Linked DNA regions of Struthio camelus. The protein of the gene in region 1 purifies or fractionates together with the protein of each later gene. This does not show direct contact. Links are inferred from orthologs where the notes say so. Each region holds a gene or a part of one and is shown in the gene's direction. Other genes may lie near its edges.

What was found.
Region 2: the proteins of TRIM33 (region 1) and SKIL purify together in Homo sapiens (affinity purification with western blotting; 4 studies listed by BioGRID and IntAct, with this or other methods). This does not show direct contact. The link is inferred for Struthio camelus from reciprocal best matches to the Homo sapiens genes TRIM33 and SKIL.

The regions. Positions count from the first base shown.
Region 1 is NC_090965.1:10,032,327-10,044,088, reverse strand, and holds the start of TRIM33 (E3 ubiquitin-protein ligase TRIM33), read left to right. Parts: upstream 1-6,304; coding exon 6,305-6,770; intron 6,771-11,762. Other genes in the region: DENND2C (DENN domain-containing protein 2C), read left to right, coding at 1-33, 162-401, 717-803, 1,246-1,277; BCAS2 (pre-mRNA-splicing factor SPF27), read left to right, coding at 1,539-1,631, 1,712-1,804, 1,885-1,955, 2,051-2,212, 3,338-3,388, 4,614-4,694, 5,279-5,405. UniProt on the Homo sapiens protein: Acts as an E3 ubiquitin-protein ligase. Promotes SMAD4 ubiquitination, nuclear exclusion and degradation via the ubiquitin proteasome pathway. According to PubMed:16751102, does not promote a decrease in the level of endogenous SMAD4.
Region 2 is NC_090950.1:27,916,845-27,928,972, reverse strand, and holds the start of SKIL (ski-like protein), read left to right. Parts: upstream 1-7,552; 5' UTR 7,553-7,732; intron 7,733-7,988; exon of another isoform or gene 7,989-8,041; intron 8,042-8,533; 5' UTR 8,534-9,386; coding exon 9,387-10,493; intron 10,494-12,128. UniProt on the Homo sapiens protein: May have regulatory role in cell division or differentiation in response to extracellular signals.

The DNA.
Region 1 (11,762 bases):
AAATCTTGTCTCAAGAGCAGAGTAGCACACAAGGTACTTGTACGGAAAAGTCTACACATAGAGTATATGTCTACAGTAGACTATATGACTCTTCCTCAGAAGAGGACTGTCCAAAATGATGACTATAGAGGGAAATGATTCCTCTGTTGACCTTTTCACAGGTGATATGCCTCTTAACTCCCTGGTCTCTGAAGCTTTTGTGCGCTTCTTTGTGGAGATTGTTGGACACTACTCCCTACACATGAACGTCACAGAAAAAGGGGAGAGAGTGTTTCAGCGGGAGTTGTTCCGAAAATCTCATATGTCACGCAATGTGCGTCACTTCCTGCACTTGTTCATGGAAACACAGATGTTTGCAGGGTTCATACAAGATCGAGAGCTGAGTAAGAGCATGGTCAGAGGTGAGGTTTGATACTAATTTCTCGTTTTGCAAAGTAACTTTCAAAGTATAACGTCGCATCACTTTGATTCTTAAGGAGCCTTCTGTCCTGGCAGGTTACCCTGTTGCCCCCGGGGCAAATGTAATGCAGATGTGGTGTCTAACGGCTCAGCAGAATGCATCTTGTTAAGCAAAGAGTTTTTGTATCTGTCTCCTCTCTAGGCTTGATCCTGCAGCTGATATTACAGGCACAATTTTCTTTTCACAATCTTGTTAATGATTTGAGATGCCACGTGCTAAGAAATGGGAATAGCTGAGTGATATTTTTCTTCTCCAGGTCTTTTTGAGGTCCGTGCCTTGGAGTATTTGGAGAGTATTCCAGAGACTGGACCAAGTGGAATGAACAAAATCCTTCGCAGTCTTGGTAAAGAGGCAGCTTTGGTATTTTGGTTGGATAATCTTTTTTCATAAACATGGCTATTGAACAAATAATTTTAAGCAAAAGAGTGCACTCTTTGCCTCATGCACTTTTACTTGTTTGACCTATGCTGAGCACTTTGTAATTTTTTATTTTTAAAATATTCATATAAAATGATAAAAATATAAATATAATTTATATAATTAATGTAAATAAAATATTTATATTTACTAAATATAAATTATATAATATTTATATGCTTTTCAAGCTTTTCCATCTCTCGATACAGTTTGTGGTAGCTGTCTAATCCCAGAGCTGCCTGCCACGCTGCAGGGGCATGCGCCTCTTTCCCGGCAGCGGCGGCCACGCGCGAATGTCTGCCTTGAGGCCGGGTTCGCCGCTGGCCGCTGCAGCGTCTCCGCGTCCTAACCGTCTGTTTTCTCTGTAGGAAGCAAAATGCGATTTCTTCAGAAGAAGTGACTGCGGGGCGGCGCCGGCGCGCTCTGCCTCCTCAGTAACGGCCTCCTGACCCGGAAGCTGCTCTCTGCCTCTCCGTCACCGTCCGCGCGCTGCCGGCCGAGCCCGCCGCGAGCCGCGAGGCCCGACCCGGCCCCGGCGAACCCTCGCTCGTCCCCCCAGGCGCAGCCCGTGCCGCCGCGGGTGGGCGGCGGGCGGGGCGGGGCGCGGCGCGGCGCAGGCGCTCTGCGGGGCGCGCAGGCGCAGAGCGGAGCGGATCCGGACATGTCGGGCCCGGGGCTGGTGGCGGGCGATGTGGTAGTGGACGCGCTGCCCTACTTCGACCAGGGCTACGAGGCGCCGGGCGTCCGCGAGGCGGTGAGCGGGGCTGGGGCTGGGGCCGGGGCTGGGGCCGCGGCCGCGCTCGCGCTGCTCCCTGACGTCCCCGTGTGTGCTAGGCCGCCGCATTGGTGGAGGAGGAGACGCGGCGGTACCGGCCGACGAAGAACTACCTCAGCTACCTGCCTGCGCACGACTACAGCGCCTTCGAGGTGAGGAGCGGCGGCCCCGGCCCCGGCCCCGGCCCCGGCCCCGGCCCCGGCCCCGCCGCCTCACCGCCGTGTCCCCGCAGACCGAGATCATGCGGAACGAGTTCGAGCGCCTGGCCGCGCGGCAGCCGCTGGAGCTGCTCAGCATGAAGAGGTGAGCCCCCCCCGGCCGGCCCCCCGGCCACCCCCCCGGCCGGCCCGGACCCTGCGTGCCAGGCCGAGCTGAGCGGGCGGCGCGGTGCGTTGCAGGTACGAGTTGCCGGCCCCCTCCTCCGGGCAGAAGAACGACATCACGGCCTGGCAGGAGTGCGTCAACAACTCCATGGCGCAGCTGGAGCACCAGGCCGTCCGCATCGAGAACCTGGAGCTCATGTCTCAGCACGGCTGCAATGCCTGGAAGGTCTACAACGAGTAAGGTGTTTCGCTGCTTTGTTGAACCTGCTTACAGCTGTAACTTCACTTTCCATGTGTTCCTCATGCTTTTCTGTGTAACTACAACGAGAATCTCATGAACATATCCTGGAACCACTGCAGAATTCCTCTGAGAAAACTCTACGTGCAAGAAACAGCTGTGATCTGAGGAGCCCTCCTTCGTGGCCTAGAAATAGCCTTCGTGGCCTAGAAATAGCCTGTACCTCTTAAATTCAGTACATCTTAAGTCTTGAATTTCGTGAGTTATTGCTTGGGTAGCAGTTGGTTGCTTTTGGACTTATATTGCAGATAGCTGAACCAACTTGCAACAATCTTTAAAATGGTAATTCAGCAGCTGGAAACCAAGATGTGCTACCACTCCTGTTTGGCCTGGAGCCATTTGTGAAATAAAGCTGTGGCAAAAGCTGAATAGAGCTCTAGAAAGTAGGGCTGGAGGAATCATTTAGGCTATTTCAGGCAGGGATTTTTAATACTTGTTTTTAAGAAGAGTTAGCTTAAGCTTCAATTAAGGTGTAGGCAAAAGGAACATGTAGCTTTCTGAGAGGAAGCAAAGGGTTGTTTGTTTAGCTTAGGGAAAAAGGAGACAGGAAGAGGATACATTAACTTTTATAAATATGCTGGGGAGAGAAAAAGAATTGTTTGTGCTCTGACAATATATGAGGGGAAAAAAATGATATAAATTGGTTACAGGTAAGTTTAAGACCTAATAGAATTAGAAGACCATATTTTATTACTTGGTGATGAGGTAATGAAATGTTTCAACAGTATTCTAATCAGAATAGCACAAGTATTCAGTGAGAAGCTTGAAGGTAGAACGTGATTAACTGATGGATTTAGCTTTATGTTATGATTATCTGATAGCAAGGGGTGAACGTGGTAATTATTGAAGATTTATGTCTTAAATTGCGTATATTACTACAGAAGCGTTGAGGTGTTACGTGTCATGCTCCTCGGGAGTGAAGAGCACAGACTGCACTGAGAACAGATTGTCTGATATTTGCACTGTTACCAGCTTGTTCCTTGCTTAACTCTGAAGATTTAAACGGTAGGTTAAATGGGTGAATATGTGTTTTCCTCATACTGTACTTACTGTTCTGCTATTAGGCACCTGGTTCATATGATAGAACAAGCCCAGAAAGAACTTCAGAAGTTGAGGTGAGTCATTGTTTTTCATAGTCTTGTACTGAAGATGGAAGGAATACGAATTCCTCCTGTAGCTACGCAGAGAGGCTTGTGTGTATGCTGCTGCCACTGTCAGGAAAGACGACCTAGAATAGTAAGTGGGGGGGGGTCTACCCCCTGCCCCGCCCCAGACTTATCTTTATAATACCTGTTCTGCCTTGTGTGTGTGTGTGTGAACCTCTGCTTCGAGCAGAATGAATTGTGGAGGATCGAGCAGAATGAATTGTGGTGGGATCCTCTCTCAAACTCCGTCGTGTTTTGTTTTCACTGTTAATAGACCTTTGTTTGGTATGCAGTTGTCTCAGTGGAGACATGCTGGCTGAGGTTAAGTTTGGCCTCTCAATTAAAAGTGAATGCTTTAATGAGTTAATAGACAGGGATTGCTCACTGATGGAGTAGTAGGATATCAAAGTGGTGCACGTTAGTAACTCATTTTATTTAGGCAGGATGCTATGGACTATGCAAATAAGAGCTTTTCAGCTTTCGGATTCAGGTGAACTACTGTAATTTTCAGTATCTTCAACCTGAAGATGGGACTGCATACTGAGATGTGCATAGAAAACCAGGTTGCATAGCAAGTTGTATCTTTTATCATTACCTGCTTCTTTGGGTTAGCTGGAGTTAGCGTCTTGGACAGAATCAGTGCGGGAATCAGTGCGAGAGTCGATAGAAGGAGGATTCCTGAGTTGGGAAAGGCTAAAGGAACACACTGAGGCAGAAAAAGGAGGCTAACAGAATAAGAGCTTTAGCAACATGAACTAAAATTAATTTGGTCTCCTGAGTGGTTGGAAGTATTCGGCACTTCTCGGGTGCTTCACTGAATTACTGGATATCGTGAATGGTTAGCAGATCAGCTTAGCTCTTCTGACCTTTTCCAGAGAGAACAAAACAGAGCTGCTGGGCTCTGGGCTCGGCCAGCTTTTGCATTTCCTGCTGTAGCAGAAGATTTGAGTTTTTGAACTTTTGTTCATAGTAGGATGTTAATTTTTTTTTTTTCCTTAAACTTATTTTGTGGTTCTGTGTGCAGCCCTGTACTAGGCTTTTTCCATCTGTATGTGGTAGTTAGGATCCTGGCTACACAAGTGCTTTCTGGTAGTACTTCTAGGGTTTAGGTGTATTTCAAGATTTAACAGTAGATCTTACAAATTAAAAAAAAAAAAAAAAAAGAAAGCAAAGAATATAATCTTTTCTCCCTCAGGAAAAACATTCAAGATCTGAACTGGCAACGAAAGAACATGCAGCTCACGGCTGGGGCTAAGCTACGAGAAATGGAATCTACGTGAGTATCTAGAATTTTTACTTTAAATCTTCCATAAGTATATCTTTTGTGTGAAATTCTTGGAGAACGTCAATAGTCTTTCAGTGCTCTCATAAGATGTTTTCACGGGAATACTAGTTCTCCATACAAAGTTTTTTTAAAGGATGCATGATTCAGTTCCACATAATAGTTATTGTGGTTGAATGAAACAGTGAGCAACAGATGTGAGAAGTAGGGCATATTAGGTCCTTGAAATTGCCTGTGTAAATTGTTTCTTAAACCCTTCTTTATCTAAATATTGGAAGTCAATGTTTTTGAGCCTTTTTTTCCTTATAACCTAGTATGTGAAGTTTTGTATGTTAAGGTTTAACAGAGCTAAGCTAAACCTTAACCTAAGAGAGTTAAGGTTTAACTTTTGTCGCTTTAGTTGTCCAAATTACCATTGATGTCAACAGAGGTTTATTATCTACTGAGAAAAATACTTTTGTATTTAGCGTCTTCACTTTTTTTTGAATCAATAACTAACGTGTTCCTCTGATTTTAAAAAGGGGGATTGTTTAAGCGCAAATACCACTTAAAGGCTTTTTGTTTTTATTCTCTTCCAGATGGGTGTCTCTTGTCAGTAAAAATTATGAGATTGAACGAACTATTGTGCAGCTAGAAAATGAAATTTCACAGATCAAACAACAGCATGGGGAAGCAAACAAGGAGAACATCCAGCAAGACTTCTGAGGGTTTAATCCTTACTGTTTTACTTGTTTTAAAATATGCTGCAGTATTTGAAGATGCTACGTGTTTTTAGACCGCTAATTGCAGTTGTGTAAGGTGATGGAAAAAATACCTTTCTAAGTGTTGTTGACCCTACCTCCTCCTAGAAAATGAGGAAGACTCAGAATATATTGTTCAAGTATATTATAAGCACAGTTAAGTGTACTGTGAATTATTTCACATTTTATATACGGTGCCGTGGTTCTTAGAATTGTTTCATGTTTTTGCATTTTTCCCAAGGCCTGAACTAAACCTCCTTTTGCTCTTTGTATGCCCTTTGCTGCGATGTCACAAAACAACTCGAGTCGTGTCAGGCAAAAGACTCTGCCAAATAAAACCCCTTAACACTATTCTTGTTGGCGCCTGTTGGGGCCGGGGCCGGCTGAGGGGCGGCGGGCCGTGAGGGGGCCGCACCTGCCTGTGGCGCTGCCCGGAGCTGGCGCGGGGCCCTCAGGAGCCGCGCGCCGCCGCCGCTCCCGCCTCCCGGGGCGGGGGGAGGGGAGGGCGGTGCGCGGCGGCCCGCCCCCGCTGCCCGTTGGCTGGGGGACCGTTGCCGCAGGCCAATCGGACGTCGCGGCGAGCTCACGCCGCGACCGGGTTGCCCGCCCCGCCGGGGGCCAGGCGCATGCGCCGCCCTCGTCGCGCTACGTCACGCCTCGTCTCTCCGGGCGTCCCCCTTAAGGCAGAGCGCGCGCTCCTCGCGCCGCCTTCGGGACGCCGCGACCGCGCCTGCGCCGCCTCGGGCGCGTGCCCGCCTCCCCACCGCGGCGCGCGGTGACGCTGTGCGTGCGTGCGTGCGTGCGCGCGCGCAGGCGCGGAGCGGTGCGTGCGCGGAGCGGGGAGTTGGGTTCAAAGGAGGAAACATGGCGGAAAACAAAGGCGGCGGCGGCGGTGGGGAGGGGGCCGCGGAGGCTGGGCCGGGCGGAGGCGGCGGCCTGGAGCCCGCCGCCGCGTCCCCCTCGGGCGCCGCGCCGCCCGCGCCCGCCGCCGCGCCGCCCGAGGAGCGGGAGAGCCCGGGCGCGGCGGCGGCGGCGGCGGCGGTAGCAGCGGAGCGCGGTCCCGGGGAGGCGGAGGCCGAGGCGGCGGCGGGGCCCGGGGCCGCCCCGGGGCCGGGCCCTAGCCCCGTGCCGCCGCTGACGCCGGCGGCGCCGGGGCCCTTCTCGCTGCTGGACACCTGCGCCGTGTGCGCGCAGAGCCTGCAGAGCCGGCGCGAGGCCGAGCCCAAGCTGCTGCCCTGCCTGCACTCCTTCTGCCGGCGCTGCCTGCCCGAGCCCGAGCGGCAGCTCAGCGTGCCCGTGCCCGGCGGGGCCAACGGCGACATCCAGCAAGGTGAGCGCCGCCCCGCGCTGCTCCCTCGCCGGCCGGCCTTCCCCGGCGGCCGGGCGTCCCCGGGGCGAGTCCTGCCTTCGCCCCGGCTTCCTGCCTGGCCAGACCCGGAGAGATTTCGTACGCGATCGCCGGTGTTTCTGTTGCCGTAATCCTCACGACACGCGTATGCGGCGTGCTTCGTGTTTCCGAGTCACGGCCGAGACTTGGAAGTTGGTCTGCGTATTTGGGAATGGTAGCGTAAATCGGGTTGCGTGTTTTGTTTTGACTTTCAGGGATGCTATGTTAGAGGCATATCCATGAGATGCTCGACTGTTCGCTTCTACAGCGCCTGAAAAAAAATTTGTCTAAGTGACGTTTGGTTCACTGTTGGTATAGGGTTATGTGCTCAATGAGAAGTGGTATGTGTAGTACACCTACTTCCAGATACGTGTTTCCAGCTTCCTGTGTGTGTAGTTAAAACACTCATAGCCTTACTTATCGGTTGCCTTGCCTCTGTGCTCTGTGCATACACAGGTATTGTGCTATGGGACAAGTACAGTCTTCTCTTTCCACATCCTTTTGTTGAAATCACAACTGGAATTTGACTTTTTGTATTTGTTTTCATGTTCAGAGATGGAATTGTAAAGCTTCCAGAGCTTTTAGTAGAGTGATTCACATGCTGTAGTCTACGGACCGAACTAGGGCCCTGGTAAGTGGTTTTGTAGCTCTTAACCGGTCCCTGTGGTCAAAGGGACCCTATTTGGCGACATCTTTCTGGTTTTAGCAACAACTCGAGTCTTTCCTATGTTGCTCAGTGGTGTGTTGGTAAGGAGTTAACTTGGAGTAGTAGTGGTCCTTTTATACAAAATGTTCAGAAACTGTTCCTCTGGGATATGGTCTTAGAAGGTCCATCAGTTTTAAAGAGATGATATATTAAATGTACTTTAAACAGGCTGACTAAAGCACTTGATTGGTCTTATGATCCCTTTTGTTAAGGTCTAGTTCTGCATTTTGCATGATGTATATATTAAAAGATACAGGAGCGGCGAAGCTAGGTTTATATTCTAGGAATAAGTGGCATTAAAGGAACATGTCTGTTAAGGTACAGATGCAGGAAAAAAAATGAATTGCAACTTCTGAAGTAAATATTAACTGGAATATCGGTTCCTATCGTACACGTTTTAAGAACGCTGGATTGTGTGCTTTGGTGACATAAGTATTCAGCGTTTGATTGGTTCATCAAGAACTTTTAGCCGGCCTGAGCAAGATGTGCATGTAGGTAATGATGGTCCAACTGTGATGGTATGTAAGTCTGTATGATTAGATTTATTAGTCCAGTGAGTCACTTGAGAACAAAGCATTGACCAGCTAGAACTGCAGATAAAACTGCTGTTTTGTAGACAGCTCTCTCTGCATGTTGCCAGTGGAATCAGTTGGATGGCGAATGAAACGCTCTACAGGAAAATGAGGTAAAAGTGGACGTTCTCAACCTACAGAGAAGTACTGCGTCGCTCAGTCATGTGGATTCCTTCCCAGCTGGCATAGATTATGTCAGTCAGGAATCCTAGTGTTACTTTCACTTCTGCTGCTTCTGTACTTTCCCTAACTTTTAAATGTAATTCTCTAGTTTTTAAAGGCTTTTGTTACCTTGCTGTAAGCAAATACTGTTTTCCTGAAGGAAGGATTAATGGGAAATGATACCTATAGCTATACCTGAAGCAGGTTACACTTACCTGCAGGCGCTCACTGCTGGATTATATGCTGTACTATTTTATATGCATCTAAAACTGCCTGCTATTTTTCAGGTACTCTACAGCTAGATAAAAGAATTACAGATGCCTTGAAAAACTGCTGTGGCTTTTTTTTTTTCCCTGGTATTTTTCTGGTTACTTTCTTAATTTAGTTTCAGGTTTTGCTCCTTAAGAACTGTCACTACTTAAAATACTAAATATATATATATTTATTGGATAGTAACTGTGGAAGCTGCCTACCAGGAGCTGAGTGCAAGGTCAGTACCTACATAGCAGCTCTGACGGCAGTGTGCTGCTCTCGCAGAGAGAACAGGAAAGATGCTTGGAGGCAGTAATTGCAACGGGTCCATACGAGGATCTCCTCTCCTACCACATTGTCTCGCCCTTGAGGGATACTACTGTCGAGGACAGAAAAATGGTCTTGGTTCCTAAAAGTCTGAGAAACACTGACCAAAGTTAAAAATAATTCTCCAAAGTTCTGGTTTGCTATAGTATGAGAAGTAACTGGTGGTTTCCTACCTGTTGCACTGCTGAATGAAATGCTTTGCTGTGGTATATGTTTATGTTGAAGATCACTTAGAAATTTCTATGTTGTAATAATACAGAAGAAAAATAGTATCTCTTATTCATTTTAATGACTTTATAGGTCATTAAAGTATGCATTTTATTGGATAGAGAGTTGAATTCTCACTATCTGCTGTATCAGCTGTCCAGCTAGACTATTTCTTTTAGTTTGAATAGAAACCTAAAAGAAAATGCCTCCTTCTGTTAGGTATTACACTATTCTGAAAAATGAATATTTTTAAGTTAGAGATTTTAGAAAATTAAAGAGACTGCAAAGCAACTTTTTAATGCACTTACTGTTTTTATTCCTGGGAAGATAGGTTGTTTTGAAATTTCACTGCCTCACAGAGGTATTTACAATCTTTCTTAAGAAGATTATCTCAGTAAAGAGAATGTGTGGTTCTCCCAGCTCCTTGTGAATGTCACAATCTGGCAGGCCTTCATTAGGCTGCTGAAAAGGTAGAAAATGAGCTACAAGATAACTTTCAGAGAGCTTACAGAAAACGTAGACAATGGATTTATGTGTGTGTATGTATAAGTAGAGCAACAATACGTTTAATACTGGGAGTGCTGTAATATATAGTATTGTAAATTGTTTTGAAATGCTGAATTCGACTCCCATATGTAGAGTGTGTGTTCAGAAAAATTATATTAAGTCCCATCTTAAATTATGCAGTAATTCTATTTTTATTTGCTTTGGAAGGGGGGATACATCACGTTCTCACAGACATGATATAATTTATATATAACTTAATCTGAGTTTGGTAGTAGTTGTTGTATTTTCAGTCAGGAAAGTTGAAAATTCCCACTTTGAATGGACTGCTTAAGCTATGCAAATGCCTCCAGTCTTATTTTCAGTGAATGTCAGCACAATCCAGCATCATTCCTGTACCTGAGCTCTTTTGACTCTTCATGGCTTTCTTCTGCGTTGGTGAGACAGGGACATAAATATATGCTGGAGCACAACAGAGGTAGAGTTCTGAAAAATATTCAATTCATATTCTGGAGGTATTAAAAATCTTTGTCTGAAATATAAATTTCAGTCTATATTAATAGTGTATTTTAATATAATGTTTTTGTTTGAGTATGCTCTAGGCACCTGTTATTTTTATAATAGCGCTAGAATTGATGTCTGTGACTGCTACAGATTGTTTTTCTATATTAAGTATGATATGTTACCAGTTCCATTCATGACAGTTATGATAAAAGTAGGCATTGTTTGATTTAAAAAAAGTGAAGAAGCTGAGTTAGGAGTAGAGCTTCAAAGTAGTTTTTTTTTTGAAATGTATTTTGATAGATTGTGCCACTTGTTTGACCTGTGTGAATTTATTTGACTGTCTGACTAGTGAAACTAGAACAGATGTTTTGATGTGTGGCTATTCGGAAATACATATCTGATGAACACTCAAATTGCTGAGGGAAGTGAATATTATGCATGTGCAGTAACTACTGTTGGTGTTTGCAACCAGTAAGTGAAACCTGGTAGAGATTCATTCCTTAGAGGACTGCATACATGCCAAATTTAACTTAAAACGGAAGTTTCAGTTATTAGATCACAGAAGTGCTTGCAAATATTTCCTGAAGTGTGAAGCTTTTTTATCGTCATTATCGCAATGTAAACATCTGAAGGGATTTTGAATTTACTTTTATTCACTCAGTACTTTTGCATTGACACTTTTCAACCCAAAGCAGATATGTATGCTTAAGAACAGATGTCTAAAATGATCCTGTTCTCTCAAACGTTAATTAGGATTATGCAAGGTTGAAGGCTTGATTGTCAGGGGACGCCTTGGTAGAGTTTTAGTCTAGTGCTAATTGAGGTGATGTCTCATTAGTATCAACAGAAAATCTAAGTCATTTCTTTAAAATGAATATTCTTGAAAGATCACAGAATCACATAGGCTGGAAGGGACCTCCAGAGGTCTCTAGCCCAACCTCTTGCTCAAAGAGGTCCAGGTAGAGGAGGTTGCTTAGGGCTTTGTCCAGTTGAGTTTTGACTATATACTAGGATGGCAGCTTCACAGTGTCCCTTGCTCCAGCTCATGTTGTTACTGCTGATCCCTTCCATGGTGCACCTCTAGGAGGATTTGGTTTGAGTCAGTCTTCAGTGCATTCCCCCCCCCCCAGTCTGGTAGCCGTAGACAGCAGCCGGGTCCCCCCGTCCAGGCTAAACGAGGCTGTTCCCTGCAGCCTCTCCTGTGTTGTGGGCTTCAGCCCTCGCTGGCTTGGGGGCCCCTGCTGGGCTTGCCCCCACGTGTCGGTGTCTGCCCTGCGCTGCGGTGTCCCACACTGCACCCTGTGTCCAGGTGTGGTTTCCCAAAGTGCTGAATGGAGCGAAAGGACCACTCCCTGGACCTGCTGGCTGTACCTGCTCATGCAGCCCAGGGTGTGGTTGGCCTGCTTTTCTGCAAGGGCATCCTGCTGCCACCTGTTCAACTTGTTGTCTGCAAGATATTTTAAACGTTCTATTTTAGGATATTAAAATGAGATCAAAGTTGTTATTTTTTTTTTAATTCCTATTTTAAGGTCTTAGTTTTCTGTAATATCATGAGGCAACTAAAGAATTGATCCTGATTTTCATCTTACAGGCCAATCATCCAGAAGTTCATGTTAAAGGAGTTGAATGTTCAACAAAAATAAAAATTTTAGAGTGTAAGTAAGGATATTTGGAAATAAAGCAGTGTTTGGGCTCAATTCC
Region 2 (12,128 bases), on another chromosome or scaffold:
TATAGCACATACATTCCATTGTAATTTTGTCTTTGTTGCTTGTTAGCTCCAAGGGGAGAGATTGCATGAGTACACAGTAGTGACATAGCATGGTATTTGGTTCATACCTTGTAACATGAGTAGGAAATTCTTCTAAAGTACTGGGCTGAATTTTCAAGACTGGGAAGTGATTGGAGGTGCCTCAATTCTGGGAAAGCTTTGATCCTCCACACTGTTGAAAATCAGATTCCTGTGAATACCTCAAACGGTGTATTTTCCAATATTAAAATATCAGAGTAAAACCTACTTTTAAAGAGCAGCTAACAACTTTAACACTTTTAGTTCCTGTGAAATTAACTGCTCACATGCAGTTTTAAAATTGTGGTTAATGCTGAAGTGCTTAGCCTATGACTACTACGCCCACGTGACTAGTTTAGGCGTCAGAATTTAACTGATATTAAACTTTGAAGTTACTTTAAAAAAATCCCTCTCTACAGTGACTTAATTTCATATGGGGTATTAAGTAAAATGGGTTTATAGAGGGAAGTGCATTTCTGCTGTTCATCACAGAAGTGTAGTACTGTTTTTCGTGCTTAAGGCAAAAATTATTTTTTTGTATAGATAATGTTTCAGAAAATATACTTTTTCTATTTATGTTTCTAACCGTTAAGAATATCACTGAGTTAACAGTGATAGGCGTCTTAAATGACCGTAAGTCCATTTTTAAGCTGTTTTCCTTTTCTCCAAAGTGCCAGGATATTAACAGGTATGTTTCATTGGTTGAACATAGAGCAACTGTCAAATATTCAGGAGGGAAACTGGGTGTAAACAATCAAGTGCAGTAGGTTTTATCTTCGCAGAAAGCGTCTGCATCAGAAGCCTGATGTGTTCATGTGGAGTAACCTCCTTTTTGTATACGAACTTGGTTTTTATGGGTGCTCTGCTAATTAATATTGTTGCTATTATTTTCCTGTTTCACACGGAACGTGGTCTTGGACGTTGTTGTGTAATCATTCCCTTTATTTGTGCACACTTTTTACTTTAAATAAAACATTTATATTAGGCCTCTGTGTATTAACCTCAGAAAAATGCTGTGAAACACTGGGATTTGCTTGGGATCGTTGGATGACCCTTAACTATCCAACTCCCACAGAAGGAGTGTTGTTCTAGTCTTACCAGTGGGTTGGTTGATTTGTTTGTTTTTTTTCCTAGAAGAGAGAGCCCAGCTTGACCGTTGCAACCGAAGCAAGGCAGCCCCATGCCTGGGGTACCCAGATATGTCTTAGAATGCAGGCTCCCCTCTAATAGGCTTAGGCAGCCTCACTTAATCTTTCTCTATGGAGAAAAAGCATCATGATAGGTTTTGTATTGATTTAGCTTTCCTTCCAACACCAGTGATGAAAGAAAGCTAACTTAGTGAGGCTTTCAGTAAGCTGTGTAGATGCAAAAGGCTTCAAGTAAAATACACAATGCAATTCTAGCTTGTTTGACCAAAGACCTCTTTTAGCTGGAGCTTCTAAGATGTCATCTCAGCTGTGAGAGCTGGGGCTTTGGAGTTTACAGCAACATTGCATCTGTTATGCTTATTTCTGCATGATTTCTCCCTTTGTTTCTCTAATTCCTCCCCGACGTTCCCTCAGATTTATGGCACAGAGGGCAAGGGCACTTACCAATGCTGTTACACATATGGTGTTTTAGTGTAGCTGTATTTTAGTATTTGTACATTTATATTTTAAAAGAGATTTCCCTTTGCAAGCTGGCTTGTTATTGGAAGTATGTATCAGCATTCCTAGATAAATGCTACAGATGGTTGCATGTCTTAAATACCTAACCTCCCAACACGCACACTTCTTGTTCCTGTTCGGTTGGGTGGCCAACTGCTGTCTGTTCAGTCTGAGCAGTTGTTTATATTAAGACACTATTTTAAAAAAAAAAAAAAAAAAAGCTTGTATAAACTGTATGTACATGGTAACTTAATTACTAATCTTGCATTCTCACTTCATGATGGACTTCATAATTACGCAGTTTAGGCAAGACAGGTATGTGAAACTGCCTATAGATTAATGATGTTTTCCTGAGAAGGCAGAGTGAGGGATTGGAGCCCCTTTTTTCAGAAGAGGATGTTACCACATCTTGTATTTTCTTGACAAGAGCTCAAATGATTAAGTTTTTTTAAGACTTTTTTTCTGATTATGATTTAAAATAAAGGGATCCAAACTGCACACTTGAGATGCATGCTTTTTGTCACTATGCATTTAATCACCAAAGATAAAAGGCTGAGAAGGCATTTATCTTCTGGATCTGTGTGGCTTTTGTGGGAGGTGGGCTTTTTTAGATGTAAATAGAACCAGAAATCTGTTGTGTCTGTATTTGGCTTTTAAGCTTGAAGAAAGTGTCTCGGCTTGTGTCCCTTTTAAAGTCGTGTCTACACAACAAACTTCTGGCGAAACAGCTGAATTTTGACCACAATTTTAGATGTAGAAACTAAATCATAGATTCAATTCTTTATTAGATGTAGTGTTTTGTACGTACCTGTTTCCATAACTCTTCCATAACTTGTCCCGTAAGACACTGAACGTGCAAAAATCCATCAATTTTTCTTTTACAATAAGGTCTGTAATAGGGTATCTGTAATACATCATATCTGCATTACTTAATCTGTCGTAGTACGTTTCACAAATATATTAAGATTGGTCTTCAGTATTATACCGTTGTCACTAAAATGACTTTTATCTGTGTAAAATGTACATGCTCCTGTCTTCTGAGAAGAAAACATAATTTTTGTGTTTTGGACAGTGTTAAATTTTACTCTTTAATAACTTCAGAGATGGCATGTATGGAAAGGAACATTAAAACAAATGCTTAACTTTCTCTTCCTACAGAAAATCCCATTTGCTCATAAATGTGCAGCTTGAGTCTTATTCATAAAAGTGTGACAAAATTCTTTACACATTTAGCAGTTTGACAACAAGTTAGTATCTGTGTTAACCGGCTTAACTGAAAGATCATTTTATTTTAAGTCTTAATATGTTATTTGGCACTTCATTTTATATGCGGTAGTTTAAAGGATTTTTTTTTTTTTTAATCTGCCCTTAGAAATGCAGATTAGTTTGTCTCACTTGCTTCTCTTCCTAGTGTGGAAGAGGCATCACCACCAGAGACTGTCAAAGGTGGCCTGCAAGGAATTAAAAGCAGTTAGTGTCAGGGAAGAACAGCTCTTTTTTAACACTTTTCTTTGCTTTATGATATTTTGGAGGCATGTATTTTTCAATGCGTCCTGCTTACTATTATTTTAGAAATATATGGAATGATACATTTTCTGGGGAACGTCTTGGTTTATTTTATTTACTATTATGGCTCTCTCTTTTGATTTTAACTGGAAATGAAACTTTTGTGGTCACTTCTTAGTTGTCAAGTAAAAATAGGATGTTTTTATCTTTTAAAATAACTCTCTCTGGGAGCTGACCTAGAAGAGTAAAGACAAATTCTGTGTGGGTTGCACTGGTTTTAAAGCTAAGGTGTTTAAACAAAGCAGCTGAAAGTGCTAAATGTGAGTTACATTTTAAGACAACCTTAAATGTTAATTTAATAAGATTCCAAAAAACTTGAGCACCTCTTGAAAATCCAGAGAGGTTAGTAATAAAAGTAAAATCCCTCCCAGGCTCTGTTAGTGCGATTTCTTCAGTGCTAAAAAGATCTGTAGGTAAGATTTTAGTTTAGTTACGTCGTACCTCTGGTACCAAAGTGCTTTTCATAGTCGACAGTCAAGGCTCTAGGTAGAGTTCACGGTTTAGTAGACTATCTTCTACCTACGAACGTTGTCTTATGCTGCCTGATGATGTAGCGCTGTAACAACACTTCTGTTTCACCACAGTAGTTACCAAAATTTGCAGCTTGAAATGAAAAATGTGCAGAATTTTTAAACCCAAATTAAACAATGACACCTAATTCCTAAGCTTACGTGCCCTCAGCAGGTGTAATATCCACCTACAAATGTTGTCTTGCTTATGTCCTCCGATCATTGCAGGTACGATGCTATGAATCTTCCATGCTCTTGAGTTATATACAATTGAAATATGACACAGTGCATTTCAATGGTTGGCTATTTGGAGAGAAATTTTTGATCAAATCCTAGACTCTTACAGGGTAGAAAAGAGATAGGAATGTCCAGAATGTTTAGATAATAGAATCACTGGTCAGTGTTTTTCAAGATCAGCCCCCCAAACTGGTAGATTCAGAAGCCTTTTTAATTCTACTAAAATGTTGTGGCTATTAAGCCCCGTATCTACTTAATAAGTAAGTACAGAGTATTAGTACTCTTCCGGAATGGGTGTACTTTTCCATAAAATTATTTGCTGTCCTAGCCTCAGACATTTTACTGTGGAAGAATAAAGAATAAAGGCAATTGAGATCAAACATAAATGCACTCTTGCATTTTCTCCATCACTTTCCCTCCGTCTCAGTAATACACACCCTTCTTGCCCTGTAAAAAAGCAGTTCTCGTTTTCATGTAAGGGTAGCAATTGTACTCCTGCAGCTGCTCTGCATCTTGCACTGTTTGCTTAACTATAAATGGAGAAAAATACCAGTCTTCATAAAATCCTTCCACAGAATCATTACATGAAAAAATCCTCCTCTTTTTAAAACTTTTTTCTTTCTAAGGCTGCAAAAGCTTGTGTTTGACATAGCAGCCAAAAGGTGAGACAAGACTTGCAGAGTCCTACGTAATTCTGTTTTGCTGCAGGCTAGAGAAGAGCATTAGAGAAGTACCAGGGTACTGCAAATTACTGCACAATGTTATAACCATGTTTAAATGAATTCTAACACTTCCCTACTTTGAAAAGTAAAAAAGACTAGATATAAAACTGCATATTGAGGTGGCATGATGTGTGTTTATTAACCACAGGGTGTTGCTGGATTAGATCAAACTCACTCAGGTGCAAAGATGAACCAAGAATAGGTTTATGGTCCTGGATCCGTGAAACTTACTTAAAATTAAGTACACGAATCCTATTTGCAGTGAATCTCAAGTGGTTGGACAGTACAGAGGCATCAGTCTCGGTTATCTTTCGGCCCATAAAACTCAGTCATGCATGAGCCTCTGCTCATGCTCTTATATGTACAGATTTCAGCTGAGATTCCGCTGCTATAGAGGAGTTACAGAGATGAAGTCTGGCAAAAAGAGCTAGAAAATAGTAGGGTAAATTAAAGTAAGGAAAAATGTACTCCCCATAATGGTAGTAGTTAATATGTTAAATGCTCCCTGAGGAATGGCTGAGTCGATCTTTAGTGGCTTATAATAAAAGCAGAGAAACACAAGGAGGATGGAAAAGGGCAAAAAGCGGAGTACTGAAGGGACAAACAATGAGTTTCTCCAATACTTGTGTTCTTCCCAAAGTTTAAATCTTGGTTCCAATTTTTGGAAAGCTTTCATCTTTACTTTGGCCTATATGGAGTGGCAGGAATTTATGCCTTCCTTTTCCTTCTCTGCTCTCTCTGTAGTCTATGAAAAGACAAGTTACGTTTTTCTATAGGCATCGAAGTGTCTGTGAAGTGTGTCTATTTCAAAGAGCTGAGAAAGTGCTCTTAATTTCAAGTAATTGGGACGTTCACATGCTTCAACATGCTTCAGGCTTCTTTGTGGTACCTCTTCATTGGTAGGAAAGCCTTACTTCTGCCTGAGGGTGCCACAATAACAGCAACAGTAAAACAACGATCCTTGTGATGACACCTTCTGCCGAATGTAAAAATTGAGGTCGTGCTCTATTTCGGATTTTTGATTCTTTCATCTCTACCTGAATTCTTTAATAATAGAAAGGTCAAGTGGTTTTCTCTAGGCTTTAGCAAATAACTATAACCATTATCGTCTTTGTGATCACAGAGTTATTGTTAAAAGCCCAGACGCAGCTGTTTATACAGTTATTCTAAACCCTCTTCTGCTGTTTAAACTGTCAGCAATTTATTATTTTTGCAATATAAAGCACCACGCGTCCTAATGACTGCATTAGCTGCTGTGCAAACATATGGGAAGATGGTTTCTGCCTACAGATGTGTGACCACTGAAGAGTAACATCAAGGGCAAAGCTTGGAAATAAAATAACACCTCCGATCACGGGGCTGACAAGAGAAAAGTCACAAATTGCTTATGCGCAAACACATTAAGCGCTATGTAATTTAGAGAGGTTGTTTTTTTTTTTAGAAATCTAAAAAAAATTATATGTTGCCAATTGTCATTAGAAGAAAACGTTGTGGGTAGCACAAGTGACCTGGTATTTTAAGAGTTGAAAGGTGATTCGAGAAGCAGCTTTACAGGGGTGAACCATGCCTGCACGGAGGACCTCTAACCAAAGTCAAGAGTTGAAGTGTATCAAGCTAAATATGCTCTTCAGCAAGAAGAGGGGTTTTGTTTGCTGTTAGCCTTCAGCTTGAACCCGAACGCGGCCGGGCAGCGCTGGGCCGGTCCCGCTCCTCGTCCTGTTAAACACCTTGCAGCAGCGGCTGTGCAGTTGTGCCATTTTAATGTTTTTTTTTCTTTTTTTTTTACGTTCCCTTTGCATCAAAATAAGGATTAAAGGCAACGGCAAACTGGATTTTGCCCTTCAGCTGAAGCGGCAAAATGTCTTTACAAGGAACATGTAACAACAGCTGTGTACGGCAGAAACCCGTCCCCCGTACGCGAGCTGTACAGAGATTAAGCGGGCTCTGGAAAGCAGCTTCTTCCCCTGCCAGCGACAGGACCGAAGTGGGAGACGCTCCATACGTCAACCCCTCTTGGCCGTGACCGCACAGCTTCCGGCTGACTGGGGCTCCAAAACCATCTTTTGACCCGCTCCCCCACGTTTCAGCCGTTCTTCTGAAGGCCCCGGTGCCTCGTGAGGAGCCCGCGGCGCTGCGGGCAGCCCCGGCGGGCACCATCGCGTTTCCCTGCTGCCCTGTCCGCCCTCCTGTTCCGCAGAGGTGGGATTTTTTTTTTTTTTTAAGGCGCCTCGCGTTTTCCCCGCCGTTTGCGCCCTCGTTTTTTCCCCTGTCCCCGCCGCCCGCCCTGACATGGCGCCGCCGCCCGCGCACCCGGGGCGAGCCCCGGCCCCGCCGCCACCAGCCCCGGGGAGCCGTCAGGAAACGGCCGAGACGGGGCAGCCGCGGCGGGGCGAGCCGAGCCGCCGGGCGGGCAGCGCCGCTCCTCCTCCTCCTCCTCCTCCTCCTCCTCCTCCTCCTCCTCCCGCTTTGCGCGGCGACAGGGCGTGTGAGGGCAGCCCGCGGCGCCGCGCCAACCGCCCGAGCCGGCGGCGGCGCCGGGCTGGGAGGCCTCGGCAGGGCGGGGAGGGCTTCCCCTGGCGCGGCTCTCCGAGGGCTGGAGGAAGGTTTCCCCTCCCTCCCCGGCGCGGCGCGGCGCGGCGCGGGCTGTGTGAGGGCGGCGGCGGCGGCTCCGCGCGGGCGGGGGGAGGGGCCGCCCGGGGTTGTCTGAGGGAGCGGCTGGCGCGCGCGTGAGGCGGGGGGGGGAGGGGGAGGGGCGCCCGCTCCCGCCGCGGCCCCAGACAGTGGGCGGGGCTGCGGCGGCGGCGGCGGCGGCTGAGGCCGGCGGGGGGCGGGGGCGGGGGCGGCGCGCGCCGCCGGCGGGTTCGTGCCCGCGCGCCGCCGCCGCCGTCTCCGCCGTCTCCGCCGCCGTCTCCGTCTCCGCAGTGAGGTCACGGGTGGGCGGCGCGAACGCGGCTCCTGTTCCGCTCGTGGGGCGCCGGGGCCCCCGCGGTGCCGGGTGAGGAGCCGGGGAGTCACCGGGGGGGAGGGGGCTCGGCCCGGCGGCGGGGGCCGGGGCCGAGTCGGCGGGGGAGGGGCGCGCCGTGCCTGAGGGGAGGCGGCGTCTGTGGGGGCGCCGCGCGGGGGAAGCCGCTCCTCCCGCGGGGGTGGGGGGGGTAAATTTAGCGCCGGAGGGGGCGGCGGGCGCGGAGAGGGCGGCGGCGGGAGGAGCCGCAGCTGGCGGAGCGGAGCGGGCAGCCGCGGGGCGCTGAGGCCGGCGGCGAGGGGAGAGCCGGGCGCGGGGCCGGCCGGCGCCGGGGAAGCGCCGGTGAGTCACGGAGCGGCGGGCGCGGCGGCCCGGGCCCTTCCGGGAAGGGGGGGGAGGCGGCGGCGGCGGCGGCGGCGGCGGCGGCGGCGGCAGGGGGGGCCCCGGCCCCCGGCCCCGGCGGGAGGGGGCTCGTAGCCCGCCCGCGTTGGCGTTTCTCCCCCGAGTGTTCCCCCCCCCCCCCACACACACCCTGTGAAAGAGAAACCTCGTCCTCCCTCTCCTCTTCTCCGCTTCGCCGCGCTCCCGCCTGTGGGATTTGCCGCACGTTACACGCAGCGCTGTGCGGGCGCTGGGCTGGTGCCGCTGCCAGCTTCGCCCATCTGCCAGGGGCTTATGATGGGGCTTCTGGTTTTTAAACGAAAGCTCTCTGTGCGTTGATGTTTTGTAATTAATTAGGAAGCGTGTCCCTTGTTTGATATGTTGAGCTCGTATTTGAAGACTCTAGTCTCGGGAATTAATGGTTATTAATGACCTCTCTCTCTCTTTTCACAGGTTATCAGGAGAGGTTGACAGAGCTGTGTATTAGCACAAGATGTGCATTTAGCTGATGGCCCGGATCTTATTTGTATTGCTAATAACTCGGGGTGGGAAAAGCCAGGCACACACCGGGGACGTCTGTGCTAAAGGTGACTCTCTAGGGACGTTTAGTTTTTGCCAGCAATCTGGATCAGCCTTTAATTTGGGGATTTATTGGTGAACTGCCATAGTAACTCTAGTGGTGGTGGTGGCGGTGGAATCGTAAACTTGGCTGCCCAATAAATAAAGGCCTTAAGCTTGTGTTTGATCCCTGACAACTGAAGGAGAAGCGGCGAATAAAATTTTCACACAACCAAACTTTATTTGGATCAGTTACACTGAGTTCGACGCTCTTCAGACTGAGACTTGTGGGCATTTTTCTGTTTTGGTATTTAAACAAGAGGCTTGTTTGAAAAGCCAGTATGCTTTTTAAAGGGGAAAAAAGTGACCGAGGATGGATGCTCTTGCATCAACTCATCATTTTTTACTGAAAGACTATACGAAACTACTGTGCAAACTACTGAGTAGGCTACAAAGAAAATCGTTGTATATGCATATTGCAATGTGTTTTGTATAAAAGAAAATTGGACAAATACTTTTAAACCTAAAAGAAAATGTTGTTTACCCTCTCCATTCTTAATTCTGTGGTATTACATGCAAAAGGGGCTACAGTTTTTTGCTCCTGGAGGCTGAAGGATTAACTTACTGAAAGGAGTGCAAAGCTTGGCGTGTGTGAAGTAGTCAAGATCATTTAAAATTGATTTTTGTATTAGCAAGCAGGAAAATGCACACTCTAGATTTGCTTGCTTAAAAGTTCTAGCGTTTAGCAATGGAAAGCCCGCAAACAAACTTCCATCTCGGTCTAGGTTCAGACCAAAAAAGGAGTGGGGTCCACGAGGATGAGAGTCCTCCAATAAAAAAAGTAATGACAGAAATGCATGTAAATAGCAAAGTACGAGTTGTAATAAATAGACTGCCAACAATAAAGAAGGAAAACTTGGATGACTATGATGAAACTCCTGTGGAGGCTGATGGGGAAAACGCCAAGCCAAACAGTGCTTCAATATCTGAGCCTTTGAATTTAAATCCAGGTTTGAAACACACGCTGGCACAGTTCCACTTAAGCAGCCAGAGTTCACTGGGAGGGCCAGCAGCTTTTTCAGCTCGTTATTCCCAGGAAAGTATGTCACCCACTGTCTTCTTGCCTCTTCCATCACCGCAAATACTTTCTGGTCCACTGCTCATTCCTCCAGACAGCTCTACAGAACTCACTCAGACTATATTGGAGGGGGAATCTATTTCTTGTTTTAAAGTTGGAGGAGAAAAGAGACTTTGCCTGCCGCAAGTTTTGAATTCAGTTCTCCGAGACTTTTCATTGCAACAGATTAATACAGTGTGTGACGAGCTGTATATATATTGCTCAAGGTGCACGTCCGACCAGCTTCACATTCTGAAGGTTTTGGGAATTCTTCCATTTAATGCTCCATCCTGTGGGCTAATTACGCTGACTGACGCTCAGAGACTATGCAATGCTTTATTACGTCCTCGCACTTTTCCTCAAAATGGCAGCTTTCTCCCTGCGAAGAGCACATTGGCCCAGTTGAAAGAGTCTGGCAGTGCCTTTGAAGTAGAGCATGAGTGCTTGGGCAAATGCCAGGGTTTGTTTGCACCTCAGTTCTACCTGCAGCCGGATGATCCCTGTATCCAGTGTTTGGAGTGCTATGGAATGTTTTCGCCCCAGACGTTTGTGATGCATTCACATAGATCCCCTGATAAAAGGACCTGTCACTGGGGCTTTGAATCAGCCAAATGGCATTGCTACCTTCATATTAACCAAAAATACTTAGGAACATCGGAGGAGAGGGAACTGAAGCATCTCTTGGAGGAAATGAAGGAGAAATTTAGTGAGAAAAATCAGAAAAGAACTCGGTCCAAAGTAAGTTCACTTACTCTTGTAAATTTCCTTCCGATAACAAGTAAATATTTAGCTTAGAAGTGTGTTATTTGTCTTTGTAAATGTGAATGTTTGTCAAATCAAGTATCGGTTAAATTTATGAGAGTTCTCCACCATGGCGAATAGACTTCTCAGGTTCAAAGGTACAGTAATTTCTTTCCCCGTTGAGCTATAAGTAATTTCATTCAAGCTGGTTTGGTTTTGTTGGTTCTTTTTCTTTTTTTAAATATGCAATCTCTGGAAAATTTAGAGCTATTGTGGACATTTTCTTTCTTCTGTTTGACCTTTGAGTATGTTGTTTTAAACCACGTGTGTTGCAGCAGCTGAGCAAAGCAGAAAGGAACTTGAAAATCAAGTATTGTAAATTAATTCTTCAATTGTTATTTTAACTCCAGCACATACACGAGTGGTGTATGGCTACCTAGCTTGCTCAACACCCAGGAACATCTCATGACTTTGCATGTAGGGTAATGGTGCATTGGTAAGTTGCTATTTAAAAGCCAAGGCTGCTTGTTCGGTAATAGCTTTTTGTTGAACAGGTTGTATAGAGAAATATGCCAAAAAAGGGGGTTTTAAATCACTCCAAGTAATGAGCTGTAGGCCAGTTTCTTGACAATTGTTAATAATGGACATTGTGTTTTTTCCTAAAATACTGCTGCAAGTCTGCACAGTACTTCAAAAATACAGAGCTTATCTTTACCACAGGGAGCTACTAATTTAAATAAAAAGACACGCACCAGGTAAATATTGAACGTTACCGGGGAAATAATTTTATTTTGCTCAAGGAAGAAGATTTTAAGGGGAGATTCAGGGAGCATCCCCATTTTTAGATGAAAATCGGGAAACATTGGGGTCCTGACATCACTGATATTTCCGTGCATGGAATATACAGTTTTATTGGGTATAATCTAAACTTAGAGGTTTTGAAATAGTTCCTCCCCTACCGCTATGTTTAATTGTATTGTATTTGGCATTTATAGGTCTGCTTGCTGACTACTCTTTTGCTTATATATCCATTTTGCCTGTTGGATATTTTGTCATGGGTTTCAAAGTCAGCAGCAGCAAAAGCAATCCAGATAGGTGAGCGTATAAAGTTGGCGCCTTTCAGAACAAACTTCTCCAAAGTTAGTATTGCAGAAAGGCTTACAGAAACAGATAGTTTTACAGTTAAGCTAGTCTGCAGTAAGGGATTTTAGCAGATCAGCTTTGACAAAAGTCTGCAATTTGTCATGCTTTCACATGCCGAATTAGTTGGACATGCAGCAAAGTTCATAGCAAGGAGACTTCACTTTCATCTGATAGACTATCATGATAGTTTTTATTCTTGTAATGCCAATATAGGTAATAAACAATAGCATAGTGGCTACAAGGGGGGAAATAGTCTTCCCTCTTGACCCCCATGAGACCTTTCATGTTGTAGACATTGAAGAGATACTGATTATCTTTTCACTTGGTTTTTGATGTGTATACAGGAAGTTCAAAAACATGAAAGATATCGTGGTCGGAAATCTGCTACTGTGAAACCGAAAGCAGTATTCTGGGAATGCATGTGGAAGATTATTTCCCCTGTTGCATCCCCTATGCTATTGTTTGAACAGATAATGTTATTGAACAGGT